Cricetulus griseus: one gene and its partner. The protein of the gene in region 1 interacts with the protein of each later gene in a biochemical or structural test. Links are inferred from orthologs where the notes say so. Each region holds a gene or a part of one and is shown on either strand. Other genes may lie near its edges.

Region 1 (3,648 bases):
TAAAAGCCAGGTATGGCAGTCGGGACCTGGAATCCCCAGGGTCCCGGGCCAGCCCAGTTTGTCTGAATTGGTGAGCTCTAGTGTCAATGAGAGACCTTGTCTCAAATGGTAAGACAGAGAGTTAAGCGATTGTTCAGTGGTTAAGAACACATGTTGTTCTTGTATAGGGCCTGAGCTTGGTTGGGAGGTTCACAATTGTCTGAAACTCCAGCTCCAAGAGCTCTGACTCTTCTGGCCTCTGTGAGTATCTGCACTCATGTGGTACACACTCACTCAGACATATACACATAAATAAAAAACAATAAGGTGGAGAGTGACAGAGGATAGAGAATGACACCCAATATTGACCTCTGTTCTCCACACACTTGCATTCACCCATAGGTGCAAACACTCGCAGAGAGAGAAAGAGGGAGAGGGAGACGGAGAAGAAGCCGGGGGTGGGGGAGAGAGAGCTAAAAGAACTAGATCCAAAGGCTGCATCTTCCTTCATTGGTTTCTCAATTCCCTGAGCAGGGAGCAATGTGGGAAGGTAGTAAGGGAGAGAGAGAGAGAGAGAGAGAGAGAGAGAGAGAGAGAGAGAGAGAGAGAGAGAGAGAGAGAGAGAGAGAGAGAGAGAGAGGAGAGAGAGAGAGAGGAGAGAGAGGAGAGAGAGAGAGAGAGAGAGAGAGAGAGAGAGAGAGAGAGAGAGAGAGAGAGAGAGAGAGAGAGCTCCCCACAGAAACCAGGCCCCAGCACGGCGCGCACAGCACAGCACAGCTCCTGGGCTCCTGAGCTCCGCGCACCTGTTCTGCTGCAGGTACTTGTTGAGCGGCCCCAGCTCTGCCATCTCCATCACCAGCATCCAGGACTCGGCCTCACAGATTCCAATCATGCGCACAATGTAGGGGTTGTCCAGCTGCTGCATGACGTTTGCTTCCGCCAACAGCTCGTCCTTCAGAGCAGGGTTGTTGGCCTCATTCTTCAGGATTTTCACAGCCACTGTTTTCGTAACTCTATAATACAGATTGTAGCTCCTGAGAAACTTGCAAAGCTGTCTAGAAGTTCTCCCCTGTGAGGCACATTCCCCGGGGGTGGCTGGGGTCGGGAATGCTGACATGCTTGCTGCATTCAGAAAACGACCACAGGCTAGGGGGACAGATCAGTGTGCAAGGCGCTTGCCTTGCAAGCGTGAGGACGCGAGTTCTGATCCCCAGAGCCCACAGGAAGTGGATACAGTGGAATATGTCTGGAATCCCAGCACTTCCAGGGCAAGAAGACAAGAGATAATCCACGGACACTTGTGGGGCCAGCAGCAAACCCCAAGAGTCTGTCTCAAGCAAGATGAAAAATAAGAAGTGATACCCAGGGTTGTCCTTTGACCTCTATATGGGTGGTGTGACAAGAGCACCTGCACACACACACACACACACACACACACACACACACACACACACACACACCGCAAATGCTCTGAAAAATGGCTAGTATCATTTTACACATTTGTGTAGAAATTTTATCCACAGGTGTAGTTTTTCAAATCATACATAGTTAATGTTTGTTCCTTCATTTAAGTCACATTTTGTTAGAATATTTTCAAGAGTTTGGTGTGATCCATGCGATATTTTAGTGAGAAAATGAAAAAAAAATCTATATATTGGAACCACATTGGGGTTGCTTAAATTTAACAAAACCCGTTGGGGGGAGAGAAGTGTTTCTTTATCTTTAACTCTGAGCTTTAACAATGTGTGAACTGGGCATGGAGGTGACCACCTGTGACCCGGCACCCGGCATCCCAGAGGTAGATCCGGGAGGACCAACAGTTTAAGGTCATCTTTAACTCCCTCTGAATATAACAGCTGTCATTCCTGTCAGATCAGCCATGCCTTTTGCAAGAGAGCAGCAAGACCAGCTTTGTCTGCCACTGATCCCTCACAGAAGGAAAGTGTGGGAACAATCACAGGACTGTCACCTGGACTCCTGTGACTCTCTGGCACCTCCCAGATAACTGTATGAGATTCTGTCCTAACTGAACATAGACTCAGGGTCTTGGGAGGTACTAGAGCACACAGACTGTGAAGGTCAGCAGGAGTGTGTGAGGGTGTATGTGAGAGGGGTGTGGTGGTTTGAAAGAAAGTGGCCCCCCAAAGGGAGTGTCATTATTAGGAGGTGTGGCCTTGTTGGAGGAAGTGTGACACTGTGGAGGTGGGCTTTGAGGTCTCATATATGCTCAATATACCGCCCAGTGTCTCAGACCACTTCTTGTTGCCTATGAGTCAAAATGTAGGGCTCTCAGCTACTTCTTTAGCACAGTGTCTGCCATGTCACTCCATGATGATCATGGACTGTCAGCTGTCCCATTAAATGTTTTCCTTCATAAGAGTTGTCATGGTCGTGATGTCTCTTCACAGCACCAGAAACCCTAACTAAGACAGGGACCATACACATCCCTGTAGAAGCCATCATCCACACTAAAGCCAGGCTTCTCAGTGGTGCAGCTCCTGTAAGCAACCCCTCATACATGCTCTGTAGCAAGCCTAATAAGCTCATTGGTCCCCCAGGTTGGACTTCGGGGGGAACTGTGCTCTGGTTTGTGGTTGGTGCACTGGAAGAATGACTAGGTGCTTGGTTACATCACCCAGGGTTAGCCTCGGCAGCAGACAGTCTTCCAATCTATTGTTCTTTGATAGACAGAAGAACAATGCCCCACAACCTGTAAAGCAGGGTACCGGACATTGATGGAGAATGCTCCAAGCTGAGCAAAGCCCCCAGACTGTAAAATATTAAAACAGCTTCTGTAAAGATCCACCAGCTGTGACATACATATAGCTCCCTGCAATGTCATGTAATTTGCCAACTAGGTTATATGCATACATGAATACCAGGTTCCTTTGTGATATTGAAAATGAGCATCTGGGCCCAGAATTAAAGAGCATACGTTGTTTTATATTTTTTTCTTTTTGAGACAGGGTTTTATGTAATCCATTCTGGTCTCAAATTTACGGTATAGTGGAAGATGACCTTACACTTCTGGCCCTCCTGTCTCCACCTATGGGAAGCTGGGGATCACAGGTAGTCACCACCATGCCTAGTTTGCACCTCTCTCTCATTAGGCTTTGTTAAGTTTAAGCAAGCCCTCAACATGTTTCCATAACATAGATTTTTCATTTTCTCATAAAAATATCATGTGGATCATGCTGACCTCTTGAAAATTTTCTAACAAAATGTGGTTTAAATGAAAGAACAAACATTAACTATGTATGACTTGAAAAATCACATCTGTGGTAAAATTTCTACAAGAACGAGAAGTTGCCTTTTTTTTTTTCTGAACTTTCAAACTGGAGAATAAAAGCAGAACTAGTTAGTAAGGGGGCAGTGAGAGGCTCAGGAGGCAAAGGTACATGCTGCCAAGCCTGATGACCCAAGTTTGATCCCCATGGGCATGTGTGTACACACACACACACACACACACACACACACACACACACCGAATAGAAACAGAGCAAATCTGACAGGCACATAGAAAAGCACACATAACCAGTATTGTAGTAATTTGGGATGTAGCCAGTGGTCTTTACAGGTGGATTTAGAGTAGTAGCAGCACCCAAGCAGCCTCTCTGGATCCTCCTGAGACCATGAAAGGTTCCATTCTGTCATCTCTAGCCACCTACT
Region 2 (3,748 bases), on another chromosome or scaffold:
TTCCCCTAGAGGGAAACTTGATAATGCTGTGGGTCGCAGCCGAGGAGAAACAGTGATGACGGTGGTCGTACACTCACAATGGTCATGCCTGAAGAGAAAACTATTAAAAGGGTGAAAAGCATAGAACTGCTGTGATGGAGAGACATTACCGACCATTTGATCCACATCTGTCATTGTGGAGAGGGATCTAGGACGCAGAGGACAAATGGCTCAGGAGGGCTCCTCAATGGAGAAGCCACGGCTGCTAGCCTGAGCTTTCAATATTCAGCTTGATGCATGGAAAATAACTGTCACCTCGAAACACTATAAGACTAAAAGCCAGAAGTAAGAGAGGACAACTCCAAAGATCCTTTGAGATGCACTGTCTAATTTGTTTGAGCGTGTTTAACCTCCCCAATTTATGCAGTTGACATTGAAACAGAGTCTGCGTTTCTGTATCGGAGGTAGATGGAATCTTGGCTATCCTAAGAGATAAGAGGGAGAAGACAAAGAAAATCAATCCACACTGAAGATCTACCATGCGAGGAATAAAATCGTCAGAGTCGCCAGTGTGTGGTACCGATTCGGCACCCTTCATGGGGCGTCAAAGACGCCCGCGCGAAGAGGGAGGTCTGTGGGTCACCGCTCTTCTCACACTCCGGAATCTTAAAGCAGAGGTCCGGGGACTCCCGGCAACCGCAACACGGCCCGAGCCACCCAGTCCGAGCAACTTCCCCAGCAGGACCACACCCAGTCTCCCCCGCCGCAGTCGGGTTGCCCCGGGCGCCAGGAGCGCAGGCTGTGGACCACGGCAGGCACGTGGGCTAGGCGCAGTGCTGCGCCACTTCGGCCCGCCTGACAGCCCCGGGGCTCGCGCGCTGCCCCGGCCTCTGGGGAGAGGTTCCTCCCCCTCTGCTCTGCACCAGTCCGAGGGAATCTGCGGTCGGTGACGCGCATCCTTCGGCGAGCCACCTGCAGCCCCCGGCGCGCCGCTGGGGCCGCATCGCAGGCTGGGCGGGTGGCTTGGGTACCGCGCGCTCCGGAGGCCATGCGGGTGTTGGCGCGGCGCGGCGGCCGACTGCCGCTGCTCGGTAAGGCCCCTCGCCCCCTCCCCGCCCCGGCCGAGTGCGCACCCCCGCCCCCGAGCTCCCCTCGCCGCCGTGTCCCTCACCTCTTTCGCGCCCTCCTGTGCAAGCGGTGAACTTGGCTGCGGCTCGCCCCCCCCCCTCCGCTCTCGCCCCCACCCTCCTCCGCAGCGCTCCTCCGCAGTCCCCAGGCCGCCGCGCCTAGGCTTGGGTTTGGATGCGCGCGGCCAGCCCTGGAGTCTGGGCAGTGCAGGTGGCCCAGGACCCCCTGAACTGTCCCCCTGGCTACTGTGGAGTCTCGGGAAGTGGCGTTCTCACCTCTTTGAGGCATGGGTTGACTGAGTAAACTCTAATGGGAAAACGGCATCTTCTGTTAGAGCGGTCATCCCCGCTGGTGACCCCCACCTGTGCCAATTTTCGGTTAGATCAATGGCTAGTTACTTTGGAAATACTATCCGAAACGGATTTACAAATTAAAATATTAGCGGTCCTTCTGTTCTTATCCTAGGATTAAACCCTAGTGAGATTTTCAAGGACTCTGAGGACTGCCCTCCCAAATTACCTGCTTGGGTGGTAGCTGTGATTGAAAACGTTAACCATAAAGAAAAGTTCCCCTTCCGACCCAGTTCAGATCGGTTCGCGTCAGCTTTCTATTTGGGAAGATGAGGGGGTTGGATTGAATTTAAGTTGGAGACAGAGTTCTGGGAGCCTGGAGAAGATCGGGCCCTGCCCTAGTTTTGCAGCCTTGGGAGGCACTCACGGCCTGGCCTTGGCGTCCTCATCTGCCCGGTAACCTACTTCCCCTTCGGCTCCAACGCTTAGGAATAAGGCTTGAACATCGACGACAAATAGAAAAAATATTTACAATATAACCAGCAGAAATTATTTCCGGTCGCTTTAAAAAATAAGAATTACAAAGTAAAAAATGTAGAATATAAAGAAGTGGGAAAATAGACGTTTTACCTTTCTTAAACAGTTTTGTAAATAGGTATATTTCAAATACATAGCTTTGCTTTTCAGGTTCTGTTAATGCAAAAGGGTTTGGTTGTGTATGCTATTAGTGCCTTTTTCCATAGCAGAAAAGATTTTCTGAAGGGCTGAAGGGGTCTAGGGAAGTAACTTGGTATCAGAGCAGCACTTGCAACCACACTCAAACCGCACTAGACTCCTTCTTAGGAAATGTCTATATTCCTCTCCAGATTCAAAATGCAACACACAGACAACAAATATGCACAATCTTAGGAGTCCATCCGTCCGTTATATTTCAGTATGTCCTCGTAATCACGGGAGGGGGTCAAAACACAGGGTGGCTCAGCTCCAAAGTGACCACCACTCTGATTATCTCAAACTCTGTATTACTTTTGCCTGTTTTTGAAATTCACAAAAAGGAAATCACTATTATACCCCACCCCTCTCCTTTCTTTTTTCAGTGCTGGGGATCGAACTCAGGGACTCACATAGATGAGGCACTCTCCTAACTCTTCCTTCATGATCAATTTCTTTCTGTACTACCTGTTTTTATGTGTGGACAAGTGTTGACCTCCATGGGCATGTGTGCCTGTGAAGGTCAGAAAAGGTGGCCAACTCCCCTTGAAATGAATTTGCAGATGGTTGTGAGCCACCGTGTGGGTGCTAGAAACCAAACCCAGGCCTTCTGCAAAAACAGCAAGTGCTCCTAACTGCTGAGCCAGTTCTCCAGACCCAGTATTCAGCCTCTCTAACTCAACAGTGCTTGTGAAAGAAGACTTTGTTCCCTGTAGTGTAGTTCTTGAAAACAGTGCTGGCTGCCATTCTTTGATATGATACTCTTTGCCCTGTGTTTATACATTCCTTTGATGATCATTAAAGCTCTTCTTGGACTAAGGATGTGTCTCTATAGCAGAGTACTTGCTTAGTATACATGAAACCCCTGGGTTCAATTCTCAGAACCCCCTTTTTTAAAGTTGCTTCTGTTTTCGTTGTAAATACAAACAATACTCTGTGTCCATCATCTGGTTTTGGTGGACCTGAACTCTCATTTCTTGTAGGATTTTCCCAAAGGGAGGGCATATATGCAATTTGGGTAGGTACTGCAGAGGTGTTTTCCAAAGTAGTTGTACCAATTCACATCCCTACTAGTGGTATGGAAGCTCCAGCCCACACCTTTATGATGCTCACTCATAAATATTTTCTTCTTGGGTAAAGTAAGGATCTTAAAAGTAAGGACTTTCAGCCAAGCATGGTGGTGCACACCTTTAATTCCAGCACTCAGGAGGCAGAAGCAGGCATATGTCTATGAGTTCAAGGCCAGCCTGGTCTACAAAGCTAGTTCCAGGACAGCCAGGGCTGTTTGTTCACAGAGAAATCCTGTCTGGAACAAACAAAAAAAGAGTTAAATTTCTTGCATTACAAAGAAAGAGGTTGGTTTCCTTTGTAAGCACTATTTTTCATGGATAGAGGCTCTGGAAGAGAGGGAAGGTGTGACTGGATTTTTCTTTGGGCTGCCACCTCACAAATAATGACACGGAGACTTCATATTCATTAGGAAAGCTTGGTCTATAGCTTACGCTTATTCCAAACTAGCTCTTATAACTTAAATTAACCCATTTATATTAATCTATGTTCTATCATGTGGCATTCTCTCTTCCATATTGCACCTCCTTTTTTCTCTCTGTGTCTTCTGCATTCTGCCTGAACACCTAGAT

Evidence for each region. The genes of interacting proteins can lie anywhere in the genome.
Region 2: of the proteins of Syk (region 1) and Flt3, one has a biochemical effect on the other in vitro, tested with the Homo sapiens proteins (2 studies listed by IntAct, with this or other methods). The link is inferred for Cricetulus griseus from reciprocal best matches to the Homo sapiens genes SYK and FLT3.

The regions. Positions count from the first base shown.
Region 1 is NC_048596.1:271,569,876-271,573,523, reverse strand, and holds part of Syk (tyrosine-protein kinase SYK), read right to left. Parts: intron 993-3,648; coding exon 783-992; intron 1-782. UniProt on the Homo sapiens protein: Non-receptor tyrosine kinase which mediates signal transduction downstream of a variety of transmembrane receptors including classical immunoreceptors like the B-cell receptor (BCR).
Region 2 is NC_048597.1:83,274,570-83,278,317, reverse strand, and holds the start of Flt3 (receptor-type tyrosine-protein kinase FLT3), read left to right. Parts: upstream 1-1,027; coding exon 1,028-1,169; intron 1,170-3,748. UniProt on the Homo sapiens protein: Tyrosine-protein kinase that acts as a cell-surface receptor for the cytokine FLT3LG and regulates differentiation, proliferation and survival of hematopoietic progenitor cells and of dendritic cells.